4 linked regions of the Notamacropus eugenii genome follow. The protein of the gene in region 3 binds, or shares a complex with, the protein of the main gene of each other region. Links are inferred from orthologs where the notes say so. Each region holds a gene or a part of one and is shown on either strand. Other genes may lie near its edges. The genes, in order: RAC2, CYBC1, CYBB and NCF2.

Region 1 (7,860 bases), on a different chromosome or scaffold from region 3:
GTATAGCTGATGAGGAGGCAGGTTTTACCCACAGCTCTGAAATGAAGAAGAGACAGGACAGAAGTTTAGTGCTTCCCCCTTTGTATTTCCTATCTACAGTGAAGAAGCAGCCCTCCCTTTTAGGGCCTTCTGGCTAGCCACTCCTTAACCCCCTCAAGCCAATCACACCAGGCTGGCCAGGTATAACAAACTCTAAGTTCACCATACTTTCTGTGGGGCCCCAATATTCCTCCTCCTCCTTCCAGTAATGGAACAGGAAAACCACTTGAGAGCCAGGAGTCCTGGGTCTGGTCTCACTTCTGCCACAAGTTCAGTGTGAGACCTCCCTTCTCTGGGCCTCAGTGTCCTCATATGTAAAATGAGAGATCTAGAACTGATGGTATCTCTCAGTGCTGACATTGCATATTCTAAGGTATTTCTCAGCTCTGACATTCCCTGTTCTTAGGCCCCTGCCATCGATGATGTTCCATGTTCCAAGGTCCCTCCTAGTTCTGGCATTCTAAAGTTTTATGATTTAAAGATTACATAAGTATCTGAACCCCCACTCCCAGGGCCTTCCTTTGCCCATCTCTCCCAGCCCCTTTCTGTCTCTCTCATTTCTTCTCCTTTGGTCTAAGTCTCCTACTTCTATGATCTGCTCAGGGACAATTCACTTCGGAATCAAAGCTATAGGGGACAGGAGGGGAAAGAAGGCTCTGGAAAGCACAACCTGAGATGAAAGAGGGGGAGAGGGTTGTTCCCTGGATCAGGTGTGGGGTATAAAGACCAGCCTCCACATTTGGGTCCTTAACATCCTGTGTATTGAACAATTTGCTACTAAGTTTCCTTTTCTTCCTATCCCTGTCTGGTTCAGTTTGTTCTCCCCTGGGGCCCCCTCCCCCCATTTTGAATAAGAAGAGGGCTTGGCTCACCAACTTCCGCTCAATAACAAGGTCAGAGAAGTATTGAGTGGGAAGAGGAGGGGGAAGGGATCAGTGTAGATAACACCTTAGCTGCATTAACTGTCCCAGGGCCAAGGGTGCTTGTCATGTGGACAAAATCCTCCCCAGCAGGTTCAGGAAAGTACCCTGGTGTTTGGGTCAGCAGACCTGCTTCAAGGTATAGGCTCAGTGTGTGTGTGTGTGTGTGTGTGTGTGTGTGTGTGTGTGTCTGTGTGTGTGTGTGTGTGTGTGTGTGTGTCTGTGTGTGTGTGTGTGTGTGTGTGTGTGTGTGTCTCCTTGAACTAGTTACCTGCTTCAAGGTGTAGGCTCAGCCAGAGTGTGTGTGTGTGACCTTGAATAAGTTACTCTGGCCATCACATCCCTCACCTTCCCAGCTCTGACATTTCAAGTTCTAAATTTCAATATTCTCTTCCCTGACATTCAATTTTCTAGAGTCTCATCCAACTGGGATCCCACTCCCCACACCCAACTCTGGCCTTCTGTGCTCTGAGGGCCTTCCCAGCTCTGCCATTCCACATTCTAAGGCTTCTCCCAGCCCTACGTGGAGTCTTTCTGGTTCTTGTCTCTCCCTATCTCTTCCCCATACAAAATGTCACACCCTGGTCCTCTTGGAAAAAAAAAACCAAAACAAAACATGCAACTTAGATGTAGAACAGCCCCTGGAGATGGAGTGCTCACTTTGCAGAAAAGAAAATGGAGACTCAGGGGGAAGCAACTTATTCAAGGTCATGCCAGGGAGAGTTGGAGCCTGAATCCTAGTAGAGGATGATGGAAGGTCAGAGAATTTAGTATCTGAAGGAAACATTAAAACCATCTAGTCCTCCCTCCACCCCCTCTTTATCTTGTAGAGGAACAAACAAGCTCAGAGAATTTCAATAACTTGTCCAAGACTGAAGAACTTGCAAGTAGCAGAGAACATAAGGAAATAGCTTATATACTTAGAACTGCCAGGGGCCATAGAGATCATCTAACCTAACCTTATTTTACAGATGAGGAAACTGAGGCCTAGAAATATTATAGTATCATGGATTTAGATCTGGGAGGGACCCCAAAGGTCAGAGTCTACCCCCTTCATTTTGCAGAAGAGGTTCAGAGTGACTTGCCCAAGGTCACACGGCTAATAACAGTCAGGGGCAGGATTTTAACCTAGATCTTCCTGACTCCAGGTCCAGTACTTTGTGAGACTTGAGCCAAATGCAATTTCCATGACTTCCAACCTCTTCCCACATTAATGTTCATACCAGTCAAGCCTCTCCCACTACTACCAACCTTCACATTCCCTCTGAAGACCAGCAAGATCCCAATCTGGTGGTGGGACCAGGTAGAGGTCTCATCATGACCCTGGCCCTGGACAGATTTTCCCAGAGATAAAAGAAGGGAAGCCACCTCCCAGTCCCACATTGCTGCTTCAAGGATGCACCAATGCCCATGATGCTGAGCTCAGTCTAGGTACAGAATCTTAGCCTAATCTCACCCCACCTCACCTCATCCCAGCCCCAATTCTTCAGCAGACTTAAGGTCAGAGGATGATGAAGAAGGTGAGACACAATAAATAGCCCAAGTCACCCTGTCCCACCCAGGTTGAAGACTTCTAACCACCACTGAGAGAAGACTTGACTCTACAGCTGTTCCCCATCAGATCCCAAGTTTTAGAAGGCAGAGAATTCTCTTGGGGTGAAGAGAAAGGGACTGGGGATGGAGTTGGCAAGAGAAATAGGAAAAAACTCCAACTAGAGAAAACAATTAAACATTGGTAACCTCCCCCCCCCCCCCAAAAGATGTCCCCACCACCTGGTCCAGAAGCAAACCAAGTTACCTACCCATCTCCCACCACCACACATTTGATAGCCTGCATTTTCTCTGGGCTCCTGGAGGCGCTGAGACAGGGAAAGAAGAGAAGGCTGACTCCTCCCGGGCAGTCAAGGAAGGAGGGAAGCCGGCCTCCCAGGGAGAGAGACAGAGAGAAGGAGTAAAAATAATAATTAACAGGCTGGTGGATTGGCAGGTCGTTGGAAAGCAGTGGGGAGAAGCGGAAGGGGAACTGACTTACTCAATCTGCTGCCTCCCCCTCCCCCAGCTCCACCGTTCAAAGGAGGCGGGGCATGTGGTTTGAAAGAGAAGTTTGGGCCCCTTTGGGTGACTGGGAGCCCCAGTGCTCTAGGGTGCCTTAAAAGAAGGTTACCCCGGCATGGTGAATGGTGGAGATGTCGCTGCTGAGCCTGCAAGGCAGGCTCCCAGGTTAGCACTCCTGTTCCCTTGCTTTAATTTATCACCTGCCATGCAGGAAAGGCAAACCCTTCTTCCCTCCAACTTAGAGAATCCCTCTCCTCTCTAAGATACAGTTTCAGCACCATCTTCTGCAGAAAGCCTGTCCTGAGCTCCCCAAATTACGTTACCAAATGATCTTGTATCCAATTACTTTGTATTCATTCTCTTTAGCTCAAACAGCAAGTTGATTGTTAAAATTTCGGTGTGAGCATTTACACCTGGGAAATCCCCAAATGCTACAAATCAGGTCTTCATTTATTGTTTTAATGATGACTAGACTTAAGAAAGTAATGAAGAAAAAGTTAATATGGCAGATTAAAAGTAAAAGTGTGGCCTGCATTGCCCCACCCCGAAAGCCCATTGTTAAACATTTACCTACTAACCCTGGTTATAGTGGCTATATTTATATATTTTTTTCTCCCTCACAGAGAGACTGTTTTATTCTCTATCCTTGTGCTCTTAGCATCAAGCACAGTCCTTTGCATTTCATAAACATTTGTAGATTGATAGATTGAAGGAGATTCCTGTTCAGTTACAGTTTGGACTGGATGACATCTAAGGGTCCTTCCAATTCAGAGATTTTGAGATTTTATGAAATACCAAAAGTGTCTTTCCTCTTTCTTGGACTTTGGTTTCCTCATTTGTAAAAGGTGGGGAGGAAGGGGGTGAACCAGATGACCTCCCAGACCCCTTCCACTATGGCACCATGACCAATGCTTCCTAATACATCCACAGCTTCTCTTTCCAATGGAACCTCAACCTTCCACCACAAGGCAAAGAGGGATCACAGGGTCATAGAATTCAGAGTTGGGTCAACTCTGTCACTTTATAGAAGATGGAACTGAAGCCCAGATAGAGCAAGGAACGAGTCAACACACACAGAGCCTCAAACTCCAAATCCAGACTTCCTTCCAGTATACCAAGACAACTTCCCCAAAGCAGATAGGGCAAAGTGATGGGAGACCCAGCAAACTCATAACTAATACAAGGCAGATGGAGCTGTACCTAAGGGTGCTCACATCCAGTGGGATGAGCTTCCTTCTCATGGCAAGTGCTGTGGTCATCCCTAGCTTGAAGGATTTTGGCTGGTTCATGGCTTCCAGGTGCCACCCCCAGGGGCCAGTCACTGTGGTAGCCACTCTCCCAGGTCTACTTTAATCTTTCAGGGGCTTCAGGGGAGTCTGTCCTACCCCCATGCAGCTGCACCTGTGGTTGGCTTGTCTCATGCCCTGCCCCCATATGCCCCTTCCCAGTTTTCATGTTTGCTCCCAGGTAAAAATTCCTGGTGACAGTTCTGAGCCTGGGCCACCAGATTGGCTGATTTGTTTAATCACCATGTATTATATGCCCAGGATCATAAACCAGAGCAGAAAGGAATCTCAGAGATCATCTCATCCTGTCTTCCATTTTACAGATGAGGACATTGAGACTCTTTTGGATCACAGGGCCACAGACCTAGAGGCCTCAGAAGCCATCTGGTTCAACCCCCTTATGATACATCTGTGAAAACTGAGACCCAAACTGAGTAACCCAAAGTCACAGATCCAAGATTCAAACTCCAGTCATAGGCTCAAAGATATGAAGGTGGCAGGTGCCTAAGACATCATGGTGTACAACTCCCGCATTTTACAAAGGAGCGAATTCAGGTCACTGTAGCGAAATCAATTGCTCAAAGTCATCCAGGTCATAAATGACAGGGGCAGTGGAAAAATAGAAGGAGCAGTACCAAATGCAAGACCCTTCCCAGACTGCCTGGCCTTCATAGAATCTTAAAACCCAAATGCTCACCCATTTTAAAAATGAGGAAACAGATCCAGAGATTTAAGGTAGCTTGAGATAACTCAATCCAACTTAATTTAGCAAAATCATTTCTACTCATTATATTCTATGTACAGATGGGGTATTAACAGAAATATCGAGTTTAGATAAGACATATTCTATTTTTTCAGGGAGATGGGAAAGAAAGTAGGTTTGGATAGGGAAGGTAGGATGGCATTTCAGGTAAGAGTACCAGCAGAAGCAAAGGGACAGAGTTGGGAAATGAAAGAGGCAACAGCTCTGTGTATCTCATCTCATTGTTGGTGTTCCCCAGGCAACTCACTAACACATATAAGTGACATTATATAAGAATATTTAAGAGGGCAGAAACAACCAGCTTTGTGAGGTCTGAGGGCCAAGGCCATCATTGCCCAAGGGAATCAGAGCAGACTCCCTAGAGGAGACAGCCAGGTTTCTTATCTGGAAAATGAGGGAGTTGGACTGGGTGATGTGTAAGGCCCCTTCCAGGTCTCAATCTATTGCTTTCCTTCCTAGGTTCCTAGGAAGGGCTCTTCTGGACCCTCCTGATTTTAGAGTGATTATCAATAGTAACTGCTGCTGTTTCCCACCCAGCCTGATGTCTTCCTTTTTCTTGACTTCATTAAAAGGACCATGCCCTGGCTACTTCTTAAACAGGCCTATTCAATGAGTGGGTGTTGCCTCACCCTAAGTGAGTGCCTGCAAAGACCTTGGCCTAAAGGGTCCAAGGTCTCCCAGTGCATCCTGGGTCATCTCCAGTCATCCTGATGAATATCTCTGGTCACTGGATTCAGATGGCTCCAGAGGAGAAGTGAGGCTGGTCACCTTGCACAGCCCTCCCTCACTCAGAACAAAGTCAAGTGCAAGTCATGTCATCATTTCTCCGATGGCGTGGTCTTCTTCAGCAACGAAGGATGAACCCAAAGTTCCTAGGGAATTCTGTGGCCAAGGCTGCGCCTTCTTCCACTGAATAACAGTAGACCTCAGGGGCAAAGAGGAGATATGATGTCATTCCCAGGAAGGGAATCAGCTGAAACAAAGGTGCCTTTGTGTCTTGCTCCTACCCCCTCCTAGGAGTCCCCAGGCAAACTAGATTTCCACCATCCCTACTTCCAGTGGTGCTACTTATCAGTTATGTGACCTTGGACAAAACCTTCTCTCTGACCTCACTTTTCTCCTAAAAATCAGGGGAATAGACTAAAGTCCTCCCATCTGTAAATGATTTGAAGTATTTCCTATACAGGTAAAATGACTTGTCCAAGATCACATGGATAGTGAGGAGTAGAATTGGATCTTAAATCTAAATGAAGTTGGGGAGAAACTCAGAGATGAAGCCAATTTAGGTTGATCATTGAGGGGATAACATGTGAAAAAGGTAATAAGTTAGAAAGGCAGGATGGGGCCCGATTCTGTTGGACTGGAAATCCAAAGTGAAAGGATGTGCTTTGGTCCTAGAGGTAATAAGGAGCCACTGGAGGTTATTGACCAGGGAAGGGATAGGGTCAGATATGTGGGCAGTTCAGGAAGGATGGACTGGAGTGGGAAGAGACTGGAAGGAAGGAAGCCAATTAAGAAGCTTTTACAATAGGCCAGGTGAGAGGTGATGAGGACCTGAAATGGGAGAACAGAAGAGGACCTGGCGATTCCCAATGGTAAACTTTCTCCACACATCTTCCTCTGATGCCTCATTATAACACAGAGGTGGCCCTATTATCAACCATTATCAAGAGAACCCACTCTCTAGAAGGTCCTGCCAAGCCAGAAAGGGTTCAAATCAAATCCCTGCAATGGACATTTTCTCCTTTCCAAGGCCCAGCCAGGCTAAGCATGGGGAGGTTGGTGGTGAATCCGTTGGCTGTAGGAGAGACAAAAAAACCCCAAAAGACTCATCAGTTCTTGATCTTGTCTGGTCTTTTTCTGCCTCCCCAGCAACTTAGCAGAGCATCTGGAAAGGGGGCAGGGAGGGCTGAGTGTTACAGTTTTTAGCCAGTCTATAGACATATTTAAGCAAAGATGTGGACAAGACTCAGAGTTGATGGGCAAGCCCTGCGTGGTTGGTATCTTCAAAGCTTCCTTCAAGCTCAGCTCATGTGAAACCTTTCCTCTACCCTCCAAATCATCTGGTTTCTTTTGTGTATAGGTTTCTATAAGGACAGGAGGCTTTTGGCTTACTTAATCACCCCACCCCATTGCTTAAAGTAACTGCCTCAATCAAGTGAGAACATGATTAATCAGCAGGCATTAAAGTAAGGGCAAAAAGTTCTTAGTCAATTTGGAGAGAATGAAAGCTACTGGATGAAATGAGATGATAATAGGGGAAGGGTTTGAGGATTGACTGAAGAGACTCAGACACGGCCTGTGAGTTTTGTACAAAATAGCAGACCCAGCTTAGATGAGAAACTGGCATAACCAAGCCCAGCTGAGGAAATCATCTGGGGGAAGAATGGAGAGAGAGAAGTGCTGCTCTTTCTTCCCCATCCCTCACCTTGCAAGCTGAAGGAAAACCTTTTGAACTTCTAAAGGCTGGTAGATATTGAACTTCTCCAGAACACCAGTATTTGACGTTGACAAAGTCTGCATCCAGAGCTGAGGTCAGAACAGATACACTGTGGGGGACCCTACGGAGGGAGAAGGGGCCTCGTTTTTTATATCCTGAGCCAATTTCCTCTGGTCTCATGGTGTTCTTGGGGGAGAGTGTGCCCCTGATTGGAGCAGGGGCACTGGGGGTTGGGGAGGGAATATTTATGCCAACTGTTCTTACCAGTCCACCTTAACAAATACCTATTTCCAAAAGATAATTGGATCCGGATGGCTAACTGCTTTAAACTGATTGTCAGTGGGAAAGCATAATGTT
Region 2 (7,129 bases), on a different chromosome or scaffold from region 3:
ATATTCACCTGTCCCCTTAGGGTTGAGAACACAGTTTTCCCAGTCCTGCCAGTGGTATGATTATTCCTATACTGTCCATAATTCCAGAGTATCAGATACCAAATGCTCAGAGTAAATCTTCCCAGCATCTGAAGCATCTTGTCCTCTCTACTATTCCCCTCTTTGAACTAAGAGGCCATCGTGTCAGGGTCCTGCCAACTATATCAGATGCTACGGGCAGGTTAATAAATCTACTATTCTGGTACAATAAGCATTCAGGTAAGTCCAGTGCATTTATTCCTTTACTCAAAGAACTGTTGTTTAGTTTATCAGTCATGTTCATTTCTTTGTGACTGTTTGGGGTTTTCTTGGAAAAGATACTGGAATGTTTTGCTATTTCCTTCTCCAACTCATTTTACAAATAAGGAAACTGGGCAAATAGATAGTAAGTGTGTGAGGCTGGATTTGAACTCAGATCTTCCTGACTCCAGGGCTGTCACTCTATCCACTGCATCACCTAGCTGCCCCTTACTCAAAGAATAAAATATATGAAAGAATATATGGTTGGGTGAAACTTTTTGTGTCTTCCTTTCCTCCTGCAAAGGCACACTTGTGACCCCAGGGTGTGATCTCATAGTGTTCTGTTTACTTCTAGCTGGAGTGTCTTCATACCTTAGAACCTATTTTCTCCTATTCCCCCACATGACCACTGATTAAGTCCAGCTCTTTGGGGATGTATATCTTGCCTCACTGCTCATCTTTTGTGACTGGAGAGAGGTGATATCATGCCACTTCTCTTCCTTTCTCTGGGGAAGGGTTCTATTTACACCATTGCTCTGAATTATTGTCATTTATTTTCTACAGATTATGTTACTCTCCTACTCAATAAATTTTTTTTTTAAACATTAACCAGCTGAGACACAGATAATATTTATGTTGCTAACTTCACAAACTCTTGACCTAATTGTCTCCATAGTATTACTAAGAATTAAAGGACCTTAACTTATTGTTGTAGGTCTAAAGTCCTATGCCTAATAGCTTAATTTTAGACAACCTCGGATATTCCCCTACCCATAATCTATAATTGAATAGATCTAGTATTAAGCTTATAAACCTTTTGACTACAGGAAATTGCCACCAATAGTAAGGACATTGCAAGGATACAATATCTCCCCAACTTCATGTCAACCCCAGGCAGGATTAGACTATCTACTTGCATTCAATCAGGCTTAAAGTCTGCCAGGTGTCAGTGGGGAAATTGAGTCAGGAGAACTCAATAAATTTTAATACTCCCCTTCTATTAAATTTTTAAAGCCTTTTACAACCTCCACCCATCCTACCTATCCAACCATGGTGTACAATACCCTTCCTTCTAGCACTCTATAGTCTGCCAGACTGATCTTTGAGGCAGCTAGATGGTACAGTGGACAAAGCACTGGGCCTGGAGTCAGGAAGACCCTATTTCAAATTCAGTCTCTGTCACTTACTAGTTGTGTGACCCTGAACAAGTCACTTATCCTTTCTCTCTCAGTCTCTTCAACTGTAAAATGGAGACACTAATAGCAACTCCCTCCCAGGATTGTTGTGAGATTCAAATGAGAAAATATTTGTAAAGCACTTAGTATGGTTACTGGCGCATAGTAGGCCCTTATTTCTATTCCTCACATGTGACATCATGCTTTTTTAGTGGCCAATGTCTATACTTGGAATGTACTCCCTTCTTACCTTCAGCTCTTTAAATCCCTTGTTTCCTTAAAAATTCAGCTCAAATACCACCTTCTACATGAAGCTTTATTTGATCTCCAGAACTGCTAGTGCTTTCCCTATAACAATCAGCTTTTGTATATTCATCTGCTTCCCCCGAAAAACTACAAGCTCCTTGAAGGAAGGGAAATTTTTAATTTTTGTCTTTGCATCTCCACATGTAGGTGGTGCAACACCATGTTCTACTGTTGTTGTATGTCCTTTACTCTTAAAAAGAACCATGACATAAGGGGGGTTATGCCAGGACATGCAAGAGAATTGGATTTAAGTGAGGGAGGGCAGTGCAAAATCAACAGCCTCATTTTCTTCTCTGGAGCCATCTGGGACTAGTGGTAAGATATAGATCAGGATGACCGGAGATGGTCCTGGATGCAGTGGGAGATCTTGGCCTTTTAAAGCTAAGGTCTTTAACAGGTCTTAGCTTGACTGAAGCAATCAATCCCCATTCAGTGATTGAGGTTAGATAAAGATGGAAGCAAAAGATAGTCTAGTTTGTCTTCCCAAAGAGATTGGTCTGGGAGGGTAAGACCTTCAGAGTTTCTGGTCAGAACAGAAATAACTGTTATTTACAATCACTCTGAGCCATCAAAACTCAAACAATGAGCCAGTGAGGCTTGGGCTGGGACCTGGTTGCTTAATAAATGTTTGTTGACTGATTTGTTCTATTTAGGAAAGATGATACTGGGTTTAAAGGTAGACAGAACCATACCAGCCTTAGGCTATCTCATTTGGGTCGATTTTATATATACAAACACAATCCATGAGGGCCATACTACTTAAAGAAGCCTATTCACTGACCAGGTGTATCTCACCCAAAATGAGAATCTGATAAGACTTTACCCTAGAATGGCCAGGCTCTCACATGGCAACATGGCCTATCTCCAAGAGTCCTGATGAGTATCTGGCCACTAGATCCAGATATCTCTGGAAGAGAAAGAGAGGCTGATGACCTCGCATAGCCCTGCCTCACTCAAATCAAAGTCAACTGCAAGTCAAGTCCTGACGTCACAGTCCTCTTCCAGAATGAAGGACAAACACAATCTTATATACTTGGAATACATGAATACATGAATAAGTCATCGAATATGGAAATGAATCAAAAGTTTTGTAACAGTCAGTAAAGGTAGTATAGATATTATATAATCCTTTTAATTGGCTTGCACCATAATGAACTGTTTCTTTAGATACCCTTTTCCTCCTTGGCCAGTACACTGTCTTTCTGTATTTACAAAATCTGGGAGTGATCCAAGGTATGAATACAGAGAATACATAAACATGGATATGGCTTACATCTGGAAGGATCTCTCATGTTCTTTTGGTAATTAATATGGGATGCCTTCTGTTACCTGAGTTGGATCAAAGTTGACTTCAAGAAGCTGGTGAGTGTACCGAGGAGAATTCAGGCACGATTGTGAACCTTAATTAAGAACCTTATCTACTTTGCAGCTCTCCAGCTTTATTTTCTAATTGTTTTTTTTTTAAATCACCCTGCTTACTTATTATGACTGTTTCAACATGTAGCTAGACTTGACTTAGGTTCCAGGAACAGTAACTTTCTTTTATCTCACCTATCTGTCTCTTTTGGGGCTGATTCTGGGGCTCCGGACACGAAGGCACTTAAAGGTCTGTAGGATGACCAGGAGGATCTCATCTTTTATATTTATGGTGTTTTACCATTTTCAGAAGGTTCTATACATATTACCTCAATGCCTTCCCACCATTTGAGGTACAAAGGGAACAACATCCTTTTACTAAAAATGAGAAAACAGGGCTACAGAAGGCCTGTAGAAGGCCACACAGATCAGAGGTAACTGAAGTTATCTAAGTCTTTCCATATAACACCATTTTATGAAAATGGTCATTCATGCTCAGAAGAAAGAGGGATCTGAAGGCACCACCACCGGACGGGGCGATGAGACTGCATCCCGCCCCCTCTCCTTTCCCCTGCACTGTGCTCGCAGAGAATAAAAGCGAACCTTCTGCAACAAGAAACTCGGGGAGAGACCATCTTAACTACGACACCCCAGCGTCTTTCCCTGCTACCCGGCCCCTGCTTCCTGGACTTCCGGTCTAATTCCTGTGAAGTCGGCGAAGCCATCTTGGAATTGGGCAAAGTTTCCATGCACTGGCTCCTCAGGGCCGGGAAGGGTCTCTGACAGTTGAAAGGACACCTTCTTCTGTCCTGTTTACTGAACCTCCAGCCCGTTGAGAGGTTATTTTTCCTCCGTACATTTTTTTATTTTTTGCCAGCTTTGGCATTCCGTCTACGTCAGCGGCCTGTAAAGCGGTTTTTGCCAGAATGCAAGATGGCCACCCCCGCGCCGGTCCTCCTTCGTAACGGAAGTGGAAGCTCCGGGCCGCTCTAGGGCATGAATCCGGAAGTACGCTTCCCGCCCAGGCTTCATTCAAACGTCTGCCTTCGTGCTGGTTCGTGGGGCACCGCTTCGGCTGCCGTCTTCATCTAGGTAGGCGCGTCCTCCACCCACCTCCTCCGCCGCCCTCCCTGCCATCTTGGCGGGCACTTACCGAATTCGCGGAGCGCTCGGGCCGCCTCTCCTCCGCGGGCGTCTGCCTCCGGGCTGCCTTCCCTCCGCAGCCGTGGGGGACGCTGGGGAAGAGAGAGGGCAGGAAGAAGTCCTGACCGGGCTGCGGGGGATGGAGGGCGGCGGGGGACGGGACCCGGCACCCCTGACACCCCAGGAACTCTTGCTGGTTGGTAGGGGGGAGCCAGGTGACCGTGAGATCCTGGAGCCGGCGAGGCCAATCCCCTCCTTTTACGGGGGAGGAGAACGATGCTGAGAGGGAGAGACTTGGCCAGGACCGGCCGGCCGGCGTCGGAGCCGGGGTTCGCGCTTAGAAGCGTTTTGTCCTTTTCCTTCTTTGTGGGTGTCAGCGCTGCCCTTCCTCTTTACCCCCTCCCCATTCCCTTAGGAAATAGTTATTATGTCTATAGAATATAATTATATACATATAATTATGCATAATAGAATAGAATATAATTATACATAATATCTAATATAATCATATATAATATATTTTACATACTTATATATATTATATAATACATATTATACATAAAATATGTATTATATATAATATGTATTATATATAATTATGTAATAATATGATACATAATTATTCATTATTTCTGAAGGCCACTAGAAGTGGTGTCCTCTTACACAAAAAGCTGCCCTGGTCCAGTTCACATAGCCCACAGGAACCAGAGTTTTGAATCAAGGAAGTCCTGCTCAATTCGTAATAGGAAAAATTCCCTTCAATCCATGACTTTTTCCGGATACTGATCTTTGCTGACATCCATTGTACTAATAGGTAAATTAGTGTCAGTTATTAACTGTGATGGATACGTTAACAATTATGACTGAGTAGGTAGTTTCATAATTCTGTAGGAAAAAATACAGCTTTGTAAAGGTTCTCCTCGAAGGAGGTGTCTGCCAAACATATCTTAAAATCACAGCAGATTCTATGACAAATGTAAACCTGAGTTTCAGCATCAAGGTAGACAAGAAACACAGAGATATACACTCACTTAAGGAATTCACCAGTGTCACACAGAGTCCAAATAGAAGAGTTCCTTATCATCCATAAAGTTCTCCAAATGTTCCTGCTTTGTTTTTTTTTTCTTTTTCACTTTACGATTTATTTATTGAAGACATTTAAATTCTCCCTTCCTTCCACCTCTCCTCTGCCTGCTGAGAAGGCAAGCAGTATTCTTTCAGTTTTTCATGTGAGATCATACAAAACATATTTCCATATTAGCTATACTTTTTTCAAAAGCAAGAAAATGAAGTGAGAAAATGATAAAAATTCCCCTGCTTTCAGATGACATCATACTAATTCTTTTGAGCCCAGAAAGACTTTTAGCACTTCTGAGAAAGGTACTTTTGAGTGAATTTCTTCCAGAATTTTGAAGTCGTGAAGGAAGAGAAAAACTCACCTCATTTGTTTAATGAACATTTGGGGAAACATTCAAAATCTCAAGATTATATTCTTCATAAGGGTCCACATAAATTTTCTGATGCTTCTACTCACTCTCTTAAACTTACCGCAGTATGGTTTGTGACTGTTACTCAACTGAAACTTCTCTCTACACACTTAGCAATGGTTGGCTATTTCATGCTTTGTGTTTATATCCCCAAGGCCCAGCATTATGCCTTATTTAGTAATTGATTACCTCTTAACTCTGACTGTCCTCCAAGGGTCAACCCTAGAGCATTTGTATTTGATGCTGGAAGCAATTGGAAGCAATAGGAAGCCCCTGAAGTTAATTGAGTGACACAGGAGTGACAGAGTCAGACCTGAGCTTTAGGAAAATCACTGATGGCTGAATGGAGGATGTATTGAAGTAGAGAGAGACTTGAGACAGGAGACCCATCATTAGGCTATTGGAATAGTCCAGGCATGAAATGGCAAGGGCCTGTGTTAGAATGGTGGCAGTGTGAGAATAGATGGTAGCATATCTGAGAGATGTTACAAAGGTGAAATTGATAGGTTTTGGCAAACAGCTAGAATATGAGAGGTAAGAGATAGTGGTGGCAAGAGTCAAGAATAACTCCTAAGTTGCAAGCTTGATGGACTGGAAGGGTGGTAGTACCCTCTGTGTGTGTTTGTCCATTGCTGAAGAAGATCATGCCATCAGAGAAATAATGACATGACTTGCACTTGACTTTGTTTTGAGTGAGGGAGGGCTGTGCAGGTCACCAGCCTCACTTCTCCTCCAGAGCCATCTGAATCCAGTGACCAGATAGTCATCAGGATGACTGGAGATGACCCAGGATGAGGCAGTTGGGGTTAAGTGACTTACCCAAGGTCACACAGCTAGTGAGTGTCAAGTGTCTGAGGTGAGATTTGAACTCAGGTCCTTCTGACTCCTGCCCTATCCACTGCACCATCTAGCTGCCCTTATTACCCTCTATAATAATAGGGAAGGTGGTGGTGGAAGGTTTAGGAGAAAAGATAATGAGTTCTCTTTTGGACATGTCTAGTATGAGATGACTGTTGGAGATCCAGTTTGAGATATCTGAAAGGCAGTTGGAGATGAGAGATTGGAGGTCAGCTGAGAGTTTTGGGCATTATGGTAATTAAATCACGGTTGTAGTGAGATCACTTTATTAAGTAGTGTAAAGAAAGAAGAGAAGACGACCCAGGACAGAATCTTGGGGAACACTTATGTTTAGAGGGAGTGATTGGGATGAGGATCTGTGAGGACTGTGGTCATGTAGGTAACAGGAGAACCAGGAGAATGGTGTCTGTTTCCCAAAAACGTAGAGAAAAGAGAGTATGAAGGAGGAGACAGTGATCAACAATGTCAAAAAGGCAGCTAGGTGGCAAGTGAATAGAGTGCTTGGCCTGGAATCAGGAAGACCTG
Region 3 (7,894 bases):
ATTACCGTATTACCATGAAGAATTTTATTTCCCCCTATGACCATTACCTGTCAACTACAGATTAGGATTCCCAGAGACCCCAGGGACTGGGGCTGCTAAGGTAGCACAAGCTTTCCCCTAGAACTGTACCAACAAGATTACTAAAACAGTACATTCCTAGGCAAACCCCTTGATCTCTTTTAGACTTAAATTCCTTAGCTGATGGTACAATGGATAGAGGACCTAGGGTAGGGAAAATATGACTCAGGTTCAAATGCCATTTCAAACACAAGTTGTGTGACCATGGGCAAGTCACTTAACCTCTGCCTCAGTTTCTTCAGCTGTAAATGGGGATAATAATAGTACCTACCTCATGAAGTTGAGGATCAAATGAGATAAATTTGTAAAATGCTTAGCCTAATGCCTGTTTCTTTCCTTTCCCATTTATGAAATAAGATGACTCAAACTTGTGCCACCTATTTCATCGGGCTGTTCTGAGGGCAAAAATAAAATGCAAAGCATTTTGTAAATTGTAAAGCACTACACAGGGACAGATAGATGGTCTAGTAGATAGAGTGCCAGGTCTGGAGTCAGGAAGATACATCTCCCTGAGTTTAAATCTGGCCTCAGACACTTATTTAGCTGTGTGACCCTAGGCAAGTCACAACCCTGTTTGCCTCAGTTTCTTCATCTGTAAAATGAGCTGGAGAAGGAAATGGCAAACCACTCCAGTATCTTTGCCAAGGAAACCTCAAATGGGGTCATGAAGAGTCAGACATGACTGAAATCTGACAAAAGCACTACATGAAGGTAAGTCATCTCTACCTTCTTCTTGCCTCCTTGTTCACCTTCCCCTTCTATCTTTCTCTTTCTTCTCCTTAACGACCAAAGATATCCATTTTGCTTACCTACTTTCCTATTCTACTCTTATGTCACCCTTACTTATAACCTATGGTCATTTTAATTGTGCTTAACCAACTTTCCTTATAACCGTTCTTTTTTTTCTAAATCCCCTTTCCTTTTTTCCAGGCTCTGCCTTTAGATACATATTTAAATAAAAACTTTTAAGATGGAGCTACTTTTTTTTTTAAAGATGCCACTCTGTGGCTGTTGTCTTATCTAGGCGTAGCTCTTACATTAGAGGGAGTGGGGTCTGGCCCAAGTAGCTCATGAAGAAAATAAGAGAGAAAAGGAAGAATCTGTTTCATCTTCTCTCCCCAGGTCCCACATGCTTTTCCCACACATTATATTTCCTTTTTGAAGAGGAAATATAGAAAGCATGGATGGTCCCCAGAGTTCTCAGTGGGAAAGGGAATGGTGACCAGTCCTGGGATAAAAATATGAAAAGCTCTTCTGGGTCAGGTCAGAACTGACCCAGCCTCCGGGGGAGGTGGAAGGGGCTTTGTTTCAGGTTCCCTCAGCTGCTCCCGCTCAGCTGGGGCTGCCACAGATCTACTTTGCTCTGTTCTGCCTTTAAGCAGTCAAGGCTATTAAAAAAACATAAAAGACTAATGGATCATACAAGTCAAAAGACTACATTTCAAAAAAGTATTTAAAGTTACTTCTCTTTTTCCCAAGTTGTCAATTATTATATTTTTTTTACATTCATCACTGTGACTGTACCTTATGTCTCAGGTCTTTCACTTGGATGGATAGCACTTTGAGGAGTGTGTTTAAGGGGAACCCGGCTACTATGAAAGTAATTCATAGTCAATGCTACTCGGTATCCCCAAGAACTCAAAGGTTCAGGTCCAAGGTCTCAGGAAACCTGTTTTACCTGCTTTTATCCATTAGAAATTCTATTTTGTCTAATTGACTTCAAAGCATTCAAAAGGAAGAACCAAAAATGCTAGCTTCCATTTTTTTGCCCAGAGCTATCTTTTTTCTTTCTTTTTTTTTGTAATTAATTGGTATCATGAATTTCATTTAAAGGGAATAGTTGATCATTTTCATATTTTATACAGGACAAGAAAGAATGCTTCCTATTTAAAAATGAAAAAAAACCAGTGGTATAGACAAATCTATGGTTTATAGAACCTCCCTTTGGCAGGCTGACATGGTGGCTTGAGTATTGGACATAGATTCAGAAATACTTAGGTTCAAATCTCACTTCTCACATGCTTTGCAAGCCTATATAAATTCCAGCCATTACTATTCATGTATTCAGAAAGTAAGAGAAATTTTTCAGCCTGGCTAATTTATTTGGCTTAGGTTATCGTAAACTTATTTTTAGGTTATTATAAACCTGTTTTTAAACAGAAATTACTTCTGTTTAAAACAGACAAAGTAAAGCCAAAAAAAATGAGGAGAAGAGTGGGAGGGTAAAGAAGCTAGGAACTTTGAGTACTTTAGTAGCAATTCACATGAGAAATAAAATTCTCCTTAGTGAAAATTCCATCCTACTTTTGGAAGATCACATGAGCATTTTAATTACTCATTATTTTTTCTAAGAGACTATAAACACATCCTGAATAGCCATAGAGACACTATTTGAAAAAGCATGAGAACCTGGAACCTGGATTCATTAGCAAGAAATGTAGCTTTCTTCCACCATGAAATGTCCATTAATTTAACTACTGAAGTGACTTAAAGACATTTTCCAAAATAGGCAAAAATTACCCTTCTCCCCAAATATATAATTTCCATGAAAAAATGTCAGTGATGGAAATGGTATTTTAAAAGACATGTACCGATAAAGCAAATTGGAGGAGACCTAGTGAACATGTTGAGGGTGGGGAGAAGGAGGAGGACCCTTGGCTATTTTCCATTTCCAGAAAGAACAAAAACAAGTAAAAGACAAAAAAAACAAAAACAAATGAATAATATTTCATTTCATACTTACAATGACAAAGATGGAGAGACCCTCGTTCTCTACCCAGTTACCCATGGCTGCTTGAGATGAATGCCCTGACTGCACCGTTTTTCTGCACTATGTACCCTTTTCCCATGAGGAAGTGAAAACAGTAACCCCAGAGAGAAATCTATTTCCTTTTCTACTATCGAAGTTAAGTAACCATTGGTCAATAAAGAATTATTTCCCTGCTCACTTTAAATGTTTAAACCACAGAGACTTTTTTTAAGAGTGGATTTTTAAAAAAAAATGTTGCAATCTTAAAAAGGATATGACTGAATCATTTTCTTAAATTGAGAAGCAATGTTTGAATTTTAAAATGTGACTACTGCTCGAATTCATGGGTATTTTATGCACCAAGGGCTTTTTTGTTATTTGATCCTTAACTGGAACACATAAAATGTTCAAGTATACCTTCCTCTAGATTCAGTAAAAAGCACATTAAATTAATATAGTAACTTTTGCCTTTACTCTTGCAATTGCTGAGCTGGAGGAAGTTTGGTACACTTAGAAAGGTTTTTTGACAAATTGCTGGGCCTAAAGATCAGAATTTTCTCTTTTAGAATTAGTATGTAGGTGCTAAGGGGGATCAGGGAGAACCATGTGACAAAATCAAGGGCTTTCCAAGTCTCAGCAGAATCCAGAGGCCAGGTCTCTGTTACAGGGCCTCTACTTAGGCCAACCCACACTGGAGCAAGAATCTTGCCTACAGCATTTCCAAGGAACAGACCTTTGCTTGAAGACTTCAAGGGACAAGGAAACCACTACCTCCCCAAGGTAGCTCATTCTACTTTAAGTTTAGCCCTTTCTTCGTTTGTTTTCATGGTCATCGCCTCTGTGGCCCCATTTGGGATTTTCTTGTCCAAGATACTGGAGTTTTTTGTCATTTCCTTCTCCAGCTCATTTGACAAATGAAGAAACTGAGGCAAACAGGATTAAGTGACTTGCCCAGGGCCACATAGCTAATAAGTGTCTGAGGCTGGATTTGAACTCATCAGTATCAGTCTTCCTGATTGCAAGCCCAGCACTCTATTTTCTATGGAGGCACCTAGCTGCCCTATTACATACAACAGTCCTTTAAATATCTGAAGATAATTATCATGTTCCACTTAAATTGAGTCTTCTGTCCAACTGGTCATCTTACAGCATGATAGGAAGGTCCTTCCCCAACCTAGTTGCCATCCTCTGAATGTTCTGAAATTCATCCCTGTCCTTCCTGATGTATGATGCTGAACACAGTTCTCTTAATGTGGCATGGCTAAGTCTCTTGGGATTATCTTCCAAGTCTAATTTTGCACATTCTATCTCTCTTAGGGCACCCTGAGATCAGAGGATGATCGATTGGGTGGGACTTTAGAGGTCATCGGCTTCAATTTCTTCAGTTGACAGATGAGGAAGAATGATCTACCCCGGGTCACACAGCTAGTCAGAGGCAGGATTGAACCCAGTGCCTCACAGTTCTAAGTATAGTTCTTTATCCACTACACCATGCTGCCTCCGGAGCACATTAGCTTTTTTTGACTGCCATAATACATTTAACTTGTATTGAACTTGCAGTCCACTAAATGCTCAGAACTGGCTCTAACTACTAATGGCATGGGTATAAAAGTAGTGAGGATAGGGGAGCGAAATGGGGAGGCTGATGGGAGAAGAGGTGTTGGGGAGGGGGAAAGAATGAGATATAGGGGGCATGGGGGGATAATAACATTAACTGGGAATGCTATTACCTCTGTCCCCAAATCACTTTGTTCTTGTGAAAGAGAACCTACTCTATCCTCACCAGCACATTAAAACAAAAAATTAGCTTGCCTCTGTCCCCTCAAAAAAAAAGATTTATGAAAAAGTATCAAACTGGCACCTAATTAAATAAATATCTTCCCTTCCATAGATTCAAGAAGTGGTACATTATTTGTCTCTTCTCTCTCCTATTATAATTCCTGCAAGCCCCCTGCCCCCAATAATTTTTAGGGGAAAAGAAATCAAGAAAAGTCTTTTCGTGGAACAATTTACTCCTCCTCATTGTTTGTTTTGGTTTTGTGTTTGAAACAACAATCAGAGGGGCAGCTGGGTGGTGCAGTGGTTAAAGCACTGATCCTGGAGTCAGGAGGACCTGAGTTCAAATCTGATCTCAGACAGTGTGTGATTCTGGGCAAGTCACCAACCCAGATTGCCTCCTCTCTCCCCACTCCCAGAAAAAGACAGAACAATTAGAGGTATGAAAACAAGGACATCTTTCCAAATTAGAGAATGTCCCTCAGTTTCTGAGCTGGAAGCAGTGATGCAGAGTAATAAGAATGAAAACATTTTGCTTTCCTATACCTAAGTTGGAGAAGCATTAAAGCATAATGGAGAGAGAGTTGGTCTTTAAGCTAGAAAAGCCTGCTTTGAAATCCTGCCTCTGATGAAGACCCACTGTATAACCCTGGGCAAGTCACCTAACTTGAGTTTGCTTTAATCCACAGGAGAAGGAAATGGAAGACCACTCCAGGGGTTTGCCAAGAAAACCCCATGGACAGTATTGGTATGTTATGGTCCATGGGCTAACAGGAGTCAGACAAGACTAAACAAAAACAATCCCTAAATAAATATCCCTGCTGCTATATGTTGACTTAATTTTAAAATGTGTTATCTATATTTTATTGTATTTTGTTAAATATTTTTTAATTGCATTTTCATCTGCTTCAGGTCACACTTGAGAGGCCACATATAGACAGTGGGCCACACATTTGACTTCTCTGCTGTAGGGAACTCTTTAAGCTGTCAACTTACGTTGCTAGATGGAATTTCCTTACCTGAGAGTTTCCTATACCAATCAAATCTCATGTCTAGTCCCTATCCTAGGGACATTCACTGATGAACATGATCAAGATCCATCATCAGTCAGAGCTACTTGGGGGCACTACCCTGTTTGAGGTTCCAGTTGGAAATTCCCCACCCCTCCCCACCAAAGCAGTTAAGTAGTTAGAGAAACAACAGGAAGCAAGACTCCCTCTTGCCCTCCCAGCAGACTGAGGCAACTTCCCCTGAGCAGAGGTAGGTCCTCTGGCTGAGCATAGATGCAAGGTTGCAAAATCTCTCCACCTGAGAGATAATAGGGGACCAACCTGCAGAGGGGTGGAGCTGGACACCCAGACACCATCACAAGTAGAGGGATTGTTGCAATGACTGCTGGCGATTTTAAGGCTCTCGGTGACATTTTGTAGGAAGGTGAGGAATTGTGGGAGGAAGGGCAAAGCATTAAGACTGAGCTTTGTCTGCTGCCCATTGGACAGCTCTCTGGTTCTAAAGGGGGTCAGGATCTTACAGTTAAAGGAAAGAGGGATGAGGAAGGTGATGGATCTTGATCCAGCTGCTCCATCCTTTTCAGATAGAAAGAATCAATGGAAAGCTGACGTTCAATACAGGAGGAACCAGCTCAGAGTCAGTGACATACTATTCTTACATTTTACTTGCTGGTTATAAAGCAATATAGTAAAGCAAATAGAAGCAAAAAAATTTGAATGGCATCTTCAGACCTCCAGTTCTATTTTAAACATTCTATTTTTTATAATCTTACTCATTAGTTACAAGAATTTGTAGTGGACTCAAGATAGCATGACCCTAGGGTTGATTGACACCAGTGGGCTTGCTAAAATAGAACTGGCTCCTCAAACTAAGCAGGGAAAATGTCCTTCTCAAGAAGGCTGCCCAGGGTCCCTGGTCTATGAGCTTGACACTTGCCCCTGTTCCTGCCCTAGTTCTCTAACACAGTTCCCCAGATGCCTTCAGCTTCAGTCAGCAAGACTTCTCTCTCTCCAGTGCTCAAGTGATAAAAGTCCTCTCCACACTGTTCTGTCTTCAACATCCTGCGCTTTTGCCCTCTTGTCCTTGTTCCCCATGCCACTATCATCTATTTTTTAAAAATGTATTTTGTATCCTGAACTTAACACAAAAAAATTAATCCTCCATAATAAAACATGTGTGGAACAGAAAAACAAAATTATATGTGAAATTATGAATCTCTATTTCATACAGTTGGCTTTTAATATGTAGGTATGTGTGTTATGTGTATGTGTATATGTACGTGTATACATAACATACAAAATTCAACTTGTTCCTTTCAAAGCTGCCCTGCTTGACTGTGTTTCTTTAGATTATAAGCTCCTTGGGGGCAAGGACTATTTCTTTTTTAGTTGTATTTTTGTTCCCAGTGCTTAGCACAATACTCTGTAAATAGGAAGTAACTCATAAATGTCTTTTTTTTTTTTTTTTTGCTCCCTTCAGAAAATCTTTCTATCTTCTTCTGGGCATTTAGAAAATACTTCAGTGTCTCTCTCCTTCCCTCCTTCCTTCCATCTTTCCTTCCTTCTTTTTTCTTTTTCCTTCCTTCTTTCCTTCCATTTCTCCTTCCCTCCCTCCCTGTGGCGCTCTCTCTCTCTCTCTCTCTCTCTCTCTCTCTTTCTCTTTTTCTCTCTCTCTATGTATCTATCTGTCTCTGTCTCTGTCTCTCTTTTTGTCTCTCTCTCTCTCCCCTTTTTTGGCAACATTCTCACTAGCTTCTTCCTCCCTCCTCCAAATCATCCTCAATTTAAAAAAAAGAAAAATACTATCTTTTTAATAAATATGAAGAATGAAGCAAAAAAAAAGGAAAGATACATTTTTACCCATTTACCGTGTCCAAAAATGCTTGTCTCACTTTGTACTTTAGGTCCTTCACCTCTCTAACAGGAAGTGAGTGGCATGCTTCATCATTGGTCTTCTGGAATGGTTGCTAAATGGTTGCATCTCTCACTGTTCTTAAATCTTTCAAAGCTATTTTCCTTTACAGTGTTATGGCTGTATAAATTATTCTCCTAATCCTGTTCATTTCACAGAATTCTTCCCAGACTTTTATGAAATCATCGCTTTTATGATTTTTATGACATGATAATATTCCATTACATTCATATATCATAATTTATTCAAGTATTCACCAGTTGATGGGCACCTGGTTTCCTCTGTCTTAATCTGATGCTTCAAAGTATTGCCTTTCTCATCTGTGATTCATCTACACCTCCAGGCACATTTGTGAGCAAGGATTGCCTT
Region 4 (7,087 bases), on a different chromosome or scaffold from region 3:
ATATTAGCCCTATAGAAATATTTTCAATAGTTATTTGTTTATTTTATTGGTCCTATAATTTCCTTGGCATAGGAAACTCCCAGTAAGAAAGCTCCCTCTAATAATCCAGATAAGCAACTTCCTCTAATTTACAATGTTAGAGAACTGAATTAGGTTACTACTGAGAGGGTAGGTGAGCTGCCTCGGGGTCATTCAGACAGCATATATCTGTGGAGAGACTTGGAGTCCGGTCTTCCCGTGTCTGAAGCAGCAGTATCTATCACAATATGCTCTGTCGAGGTTTGACCGTGTCTGAGTTTACTGCATAATGACAAGAGAGGCAGCAGGCTGTAGTGGGAAGGATACTAAATCTGAATTTAGCAGGCCCCAATGTTGAGCCCCAGCTCTGATGCTTACTGCCTATATGATCTTGGAAAGTCATCTAACTTCTCTGAGTCTCAGTTTCTTCTTTTGTAAAATAGAAATAATAACTCTTGAACCACCTATCCTCCCGGAGGGTTACTATGAAGAAAGGACTTTGCAAAACTATAGACATGTGAACTCTGCTTAATTACTCATATTTCATTCAGTCTAGAGTCAAACTTCTTGATATAAAACTAGGAAAAACTTTTAGTGAACACAGAGCAAAACCCACATCCCTCCTGGTACCCTCATGTCATTCCCAACATTGTGTGATATCAAAGACTTACTTCTCCATCCTATAAAAGACCATCCCTCGTTGGAAATAAGCCACTGCTAAATGTTTGTCTCGGTTTATGCTCCCAGTAAAAGCCTGTAAGAAAGAGAAAGTGTTTTTGTGTATAGGTTTGTAAGAGTAAAAAGCTGGTGATAAGAGTTAAGGCAGTCACCTTAGGCTGAGAGCTGAGGATGGCTGGTGTCTGGAAGAGAGCTATCTGGAGGCTGGGCAAAGGGAGCCAGATTTTATGGCTACCTCTGGGGATGACAAAGGCACAAAGTCAGAAGGGAATATCAAGAAAGACAAGGAGTTAGAAGGACAATAGGTGGAGGAAGAAGAGGAGGAAGAGGAGAAATAAAGTTCAAGATTTTTTAAAACTAGGAGTAGAAGGAAAATAGGGATATATACACATACAAACATATATGTATGCATGTGTATCCACATATATGTACACACATGCATATATACACATGTGTATATGTATATATGCATGTGTATACACACATATATGTATACACACACACACAAACGTTCCATTCCAACCTTCTCCATTGTTGCTAAGCTTTTGACAAAAAGCACCTCATAGGGGTAAACTCTAAAACTATCACCAGTAAGTATAGATGTCCTTGTATTCTCTCCCTAACTTTCTACTTTTTCCTTGTCTACACACTTTTTTTCCAGGAGGGCTCACTATCTCTTGTGCATCCTATCTGTCCTTTGGACCAACTGCCGTTTACTAAGAAATCCACTCTTTATCCTTGAAGCATATCTGTTTATATTCTTATCTCCAACCAGCACATATAGATATCAGAACTAGAATCTATTTGTGGATTGCCTCTGGGGTCACTTGTTTGACTACCTGACCTACTTATCTGTGCATAAATTTAATGCTTGACATCACTGAGATAGCTCCTCCCTGAAACCGTTGCTGATCCTAACTCTCTATCCCCTCACCCCAAGCTGGTAATCAATTTTCCTCTCCCTCCGTTGTGGAGCTCATATGAATTCTATGAGTTGCTATGAGACTCAAGAAGATCACCGGCCTCATGTTCCTGAAGGTGGTACTGGGTGAGGGAGTCGGGTTCCACCTTATCCTGAAGCCAACAAAGACTTCAAAGTTTCAGAACACAGGTCTCCATTAGACATAGGGATGCTTGTCTCCAGGTTGCAGTATGGAGAAAATATGTGCGCACCCCTGTCCCCCAAAAGTATATTTTCCTGGAAGATGGCACACTGGGGCAAATGCCTAAGGGGCCCTATCCTAGTTAAGGTTTTGGGCCAACAACTGAGAGAAGTCAAATATATTCATCCATACCAATATGTCCATTTACTATCTGTAAATACCAGATCTTTCATGACTAAACTCTTTCATCCACTCCATGATAACATAGACCTGCCTGTATTCAGTTTACTCTAGTAGAGGAATATGACACATACATAGATAACTACAAGGAAAGACTTTGTGGAGGAGGTAGTATAATTTACATATAACATTAAAATCTTTCACAATTTGATTCACATCCATCTTCTCAGGCAACTTATTATCTAGTTGGGAAGATGGTACTGATTGGCATGAAAGATTAAACTGTGTGGGTCTCTCATCCTGGTAGAGTGTTTGGTATATGATAGCCATTTAATTGTCAAATGAATTAGAGATTAACATGAGATAGTTTAAAAACATATGCTAAGTTGTCTGCTCCAAGTGGCACAAGAAGAGTTCAGAGAAGGGGGAATAGTCAAAGAAGGCTTCCTAGAGAGGACAGATTTCAATGGATGGATCCAATTTGGAGGTGGGCAAGAGAAGAGACCATCCCACATCAGGAGACATGATTGTGCATGAAGATACCACGAAAGCACAAAGCAGAAGTAAGAGTCTTTCACTTACCTTTTCTGCCTCCTGCAGGTTTTCCAGAATCATATAGATACAGCCTATGTTGAAGGAAATCCGGGAATGGGGGTCCTGAACTCCAGTGAAGGCCTTTAAGGCTCCATGCCAGTCCTTCTTGTCTGCTGCCAGCACCCCTTCATTCCAAAGGCGTATCACCTCAGCTAAGGACATGGCCAGATGAGAATTGGGAGGCAAAGACCCAGACTGTGCCCAAAGAGCAACTTGGATTAGGCAGAACAGGGGCAGAAGAGAAAGCACTCAATGGAGAGGAAGTCTTTCCCACCAGGGCCTGTTCCCTACGGTCTCTCTTCGGCTCCCTTATTCTTGACTGGGTAGGACCAAGTGTCTTATTTTTTCCTTTCAAGTGGGTCTCAGAAGAAGATCTAGTCTTCTCCAAGCTGACTTCTCTGTGTTGTAAGCATGTCAGGAAGTGTCCTCATCTTTTAGTAACCCTGCTGAGAGGCAAGGGGAAGAAGGGAGGTGGGGGTGGAGAGGAGGGGAGGGGTGGGGAAAGAGAGGAAGTACAAGTGTTGACTGCAATGGATCAGTTCCTCTAAACTATTCTGCTCTGCCATGATCAGTCCCTCCAACTAAGTCTTACCTTTTTACTAGTGTTTCTGGGCCATGCACTGTCACTTTCTAGCTGTGTGACCTTGGATCAGTTACTTCCTCAGTTTCCCCATCTGCAAAAGGAGGGGATTGGATGTGATACTTCAGTCAAAAGTTCCCCTGAGCTCTTTTAAAAGTCATATTCATGAAATATTTATAGCAGCTTTTTTTAGTGATGGCAAAGAATTGGTAACTTGAGGGCATGCCCATCCATTGAGAAATGGTTAAATAAGTTATGGTGCGGGAATATGGTGGAATGTTATTATATTATAAGAACTGAAGAAAAGGGTAGTTTCAGAGAAACCAGAGAAGAATCATAGGAACTGATATGCAACGAAGTAGGCAAACCCAGAACAATCTATATGATGACAACAAACTACTTTGAAAGACTTAGTAACCAACTACAATTCCAGAGATTCAGGACGAAACCTGCTGCCAGCCTCATGATGGAGAGGTGATAGACCAAGAGCACAGAGACCTTTTTTTGGTCATGCTCAATACAAAAATGTGTTTTTCTTGATTATACATGCTTATAAAGGGGGTTTTAGTTTTATTACTTTCTCAGTGGGATGGGGAGGAGTGTACAGGTGGAAGGCATAGCATGCAGATCTAAAAATAAAATGAAATTTAATTTAAAAAAGCAATCCATGATTCTAAGGAACTTCCTCCATCTTTAGAGCATCACCATCTCAGCTTGGGATGCCCATTTTCAGTCATTCTTTGTTCCAACGAATAATAGTTTCTTTAGCTCTCTCCATAAAATGATATTAGAGCCTTTTCAGGCTCTGCTCTCTTTTATGAAAACTCAGAATGTTTATGGAAATCCTGGAAGCTAAACATGACTGTTGTTAGTCCAGCAAGGAAAGCTGAACCACAGAGGGGAGAAGGAACTAGACAAAGACAAGAGCTTTGGAGATTACCTTGGACTCCTGCTCATATTCAAACTGCCTTCAATGAGCACATTTAAACAGGGAGATGTTGAATGTTTGCTACTAGTGTTTCAAAAACTGTCTTCCCTAATATTGCATTAGAACCATAGGATCCTTGGAAATAAAGGGAGAGGAGATGAGAAAGACAATTTCAAGAGATAGCACAGCAGTATGGGCAGGTGTTTTGGGGTTTCTTTTTCTTTGTGTCTGTTAATGAGTTTCCATCATTCTGTGGATGTTTCCCACTCCTAGTTTCATAGAATCCTAGGTTTAGAACTGGAAGGGGCTTTGCATGCCACTTAGTCCAATTTCCTTTAGATGAGGAAGTTGATGAAGTCTGGAGATATGAAGTGACCAACCCAATATCACCCAGGTAGTTAAGTGGCAGAGCTGGAATTTGAACCCAAGACTTTTTATTCCAAAGTCAGCCTTCTTTCTACTCTATAAGTACATCTCAGCTATCTTCATACCTGGCTGTCTGCATTCTAGCCATTAACCTGATTCCCCTTTCACTGGAGCCTTGGACTGTGCCCCCCAGGATAGTAGGATCTAACAGATAGATGCAGGCATCTGTGCCACTTCATGTACCCCCTTCTTCTGATGTCCAGATTCCCTTTATATGTTGTCTCCCCTCATTAAAACATAGTTTCATTGAAGGTAGGGTCTGTCTTATTTGCTTAGCAGAGTACCTGCACATATTAAGTGATTAACAAATGTTTCATCCATACATACATTCATCCATCCATCCATCTATCTATCCATATTTCTTTTTTCTCTTTCTTTTTCTTATCTATCCACTCCATCCACCTATCTATCTATCATCTATCTATCTATCTATCTATCTATCTATCTATCTATCTATCTATCTATCTATCTATCTGTCTGTCTGTCTGTCTGTCTGTCTCTCTGTCTCTCTGTCTCTCTGTCTGTCTGTCTGTCTGTTTATCTATCTATCTAATTGCTGTCCTTTGTGATTGACTATGCTACCAAGCTACCCAAGGACTGGGTACAAGTTGTAGTATTGGGGAGTGATTGGCTCATGTCATATCACACAGTTGGCAAAGGTCATCTGTAATTTGTTATAGGGTCATAGGATCATGCTTCACTTCTGAGATTACTTCCCTCATTCTATTTCTAACATTTCCTTTTCTGGGGAATACTTGCAAAATCTTGATCATCAGGTGGTCAGGGTTAAGGGCATGACAACTACAAATTAAAATTTCCTATCCCCCTACTAAGAAAAATTGGAGCCACTGGAGAAGAATTGGAAAGTTTATAGAGCCATTTACATTGATGGCCAATGAAGTTAACTCTGTCCTTGAAAATCTGAATCTTTTTCCTATTGTCCTTAAAAGATCAATATAGCAAAACAGTACTGAAATGAAATAACTGAGGGAATTTGTTGTTGTTGGCTTGTTTCAGTCATATCTGGCTCTTCATGACCCCATTTGGGGTTTTCAAAGATACTGGAGTTTTGCCATTTCCTTTTCCAGCTCATTTGACAGACGAGGAAACTGATTTAATAAATAAATAAGAATAACTTATAATGAGCATATTAACTATAAGCAAATAAGCATTGCTAAATTGGTTTTAAAAGTTGAAAACAGCTTATCTTCTACAGTTTTGAGCACACTATTCCTTTGCTTAGGAAATAAATTTATCATAATTAAACAGAAAGGTTAGTGTTTTGCTCAATTCCTGAACAAATAACTCATTAATTTTGAATTAAGGGATTCCAGGTCTATTAATGGGGTTTTACTATCTACAATATACTAAGGTCCCTGTAGGATGAATATGGTCAGTTATAAAGCAAGTACACCCCATTTCTTTCTGTGTTTGTGGAAAAGCTGGGAAACTTATGGAACCAAAATACATAAATCCTAGGAACTCTCAACCACCATGTTGTGTGGTAGAAAGAGTGCTAGATTTGATGACAGGAGATTTGGATTACAACTCTAGCACTTACCTCTCTGGGTCTAGTTTCCTTATTTATAAAATGAAGGGATTAGACTCAACCAGGGGCTCTTAGCCTTTTATTGTGTCACAGACCCCTTGGGCAGTCTGGTGAAACTTATGGACCCCTTCTAAGACTCATCTTTCTGAGTTCAAATCTGACTTTGGACATTTACTAGCTGTGTGACCCTGGACAAGTCACTTAATCCTGTTTGCCTTATCTGTAAAATATGCTAGAGATGGAAATGGCAAATCACTCCAGTATCTTTGCCAAGAAAACCCCAAATGGGGTCATGAAGAGCCAGACAAGACTGAAACAACATATCTCTATTTTCTTTTCTCTCTCCCTCCCTTCTCTCTTCCCCTTTCCCTCCCCTCCCCTTCCCTCTCCCCTCTCCCATCTTCCCCTCTCCTCCTTTCTCCTCTCCTCTGCCTGAACCAGAAGAATGAAGTCTTCTTTTTAGTCAGCTGCCCTCCCATCTGGAATCTCTCTTCTCTCTACTCTTTCCTAGCCCCCACCCATAAATGGTGCAGAGACACTCAATAAGGAATGATGTTGGGAAATAAACTGACTTTCAAAGCCTAGTAAAGTGGTTCCCAATCTTTTCAAGTGTGAGGATCCCTTTGATAAAATATATACTCAGTATCAGTTGATTAAGAAAAGACATAATAGCTTTTAAATAAATTTATATTTTATCACAACAGCATGTACACATATTCAAATAGCATAATACAAAATATAGATGATATAAAAAAGATTAATTATAATTTTTTAAAAGAGCACATATACACATATACATGTGAGACATATTCAGTCAACAGAAGGTTTATTTGTTAAAGATCAAAATGCCCATGGCTGATAGCCTTTTTGTAGATCCTTTCTAATAACTCTGCCATTCCTCTAGGGTCCATAAATCTAAAGGAGCTATGCCTGCCTTGGCAGCAGTTCATATGAAAAAAGATCTATGAAGTGGTAAGTTTTAGTTGACCACAAGCTTACTGTAAGCCGATGGTATGATGTAGTTGCTAAGA

What was found.
Region 1: CYBB (region 3) and RAC2 share a complex: the UniProt entries of both Homo sapiens proteins name them as parts of the phagocyte NADPH oxidase complex. The link is inferred for Notamacropus eugenii from reciprocal best matches to the Homo sapiens genes CYBB and RAC2.
Region 2: the proteins of CYBB (region 3) and CYBC1 are in contact, whole or in part, in a cryo-EM structure (PDB 8KEI), measured with the Homo sapiens proteins. The link is inferred for Notamacropus eugenii from reciprocal best matches to the Homo sapiens genes CYBB and CYBC1. Residues at the interface, in NP_000388.2 of Homo sapiens: Trp28, Asn74, Leu75, Leu76, Ser77, Phe78, Leu79, Arg80, Gly81, Ser82, Ser83, Ala84, Cys85, Cys86, Trp206, His210, Phe212, Pro266, Met268, Trp270, Lys271, Ile273, Tyr280, Tyr324, Phe326, Lys328, Leu335, Glu336, Trp337, His338; in NP_001028218.1 of Homo sapiens: Arg22, Leu26, Ala37, Ser41, Gly42, Asp43, Trp47, Phe50, Tyr51, Phe57, Gln61, Asn62, Glu64, Lys77, His97, Asp98, Gln99, Val100, Val101, Val102, Leu103, Arg108, Ser111, Glu115, Val117, Arg118, Tyr119, Phe120, Arg129, Ala131.
Region 4: CYBB (region 3) and NCF2 share a complex: the UniProt entries of both Homo sapiens proteins name them as parts of the phagocyte NADPH oxidase complex. The link is inferred for Notamacropus eugenii from reciprocal best matches to the Homo sapiens genes CYBB and NCF2.

The regions. Positions count from the first base shown.
Region 1 is NC_092874.1:294,384,660-294,392,519, forward strand, and holds the start of RAC2 (ras-related C3 botulinum toxin substrate 2), read right to left. Parts: upstream 3,021-7,860; 5' UTR 2,797-3,020; coding exon 2,762-2,796; intron 37-2,761; coding exon 1-36. UniProt on the Homo sapiens protein: Plasma membrane-associated small GTPase which cycles between an active GTP-bound and inactive GDP-bound state.
Region 2 is NC_092873.1:72,177,790-72,184,918, forward strand, and holds the start of CYBC1 (cytochrome b-245 chaperone 1), read left to right. Parts: upstream 1-4,122; 5' UTR 4,123-4,208; intron 4,209-4,269; exon of another isoform or gene 4,270-4,355; intron 4,356-7,129. UniProt on the Homo sapiens protein: Functions as a chaperone necessary for a stable expression of the CYBA and CYBB subunits of the cytochrome b-245 heterodimer. Controls the phagocyte respiratory burst and is essential for innate immunity.
Region 3 is NC_092876.1:437,657,361-437,665,254, forward strand, and holds the start of CYBB (NADPH oxidase 2), read right to left. Parts: upstream 3,021-7,894; 5' UTR 2,867-3,020; coding exon 2,822-2,866; intron 1-2,821. UniProt on the Homo sapiens protein: Catalytic subunit of the phagocyte NADPH oxidase complex that mediates the transfer of electrons from cytosolic NADPH to O2 to produce the superoxide anion (O2(-)).
Region 4 is NC_092873.1:461,483,842-461,490,928, reverse strand, and holds the start of NCF2 (neutrophil cytosol factor 2), read right to left. Parts: upstream 3,002-7,087; 5' UTR 2,736-3,001; coding exon 2,562-2,735; intron 773-2,561; coding exon 690-772; intron 1-689. UniProt on the Homo sapiens protein: Subunit of the phagocyte NADPH oxidase complex that mediates the transfer of electrons from cytosolic NADPH to O2 to produce the superoxide anion (O2(-)).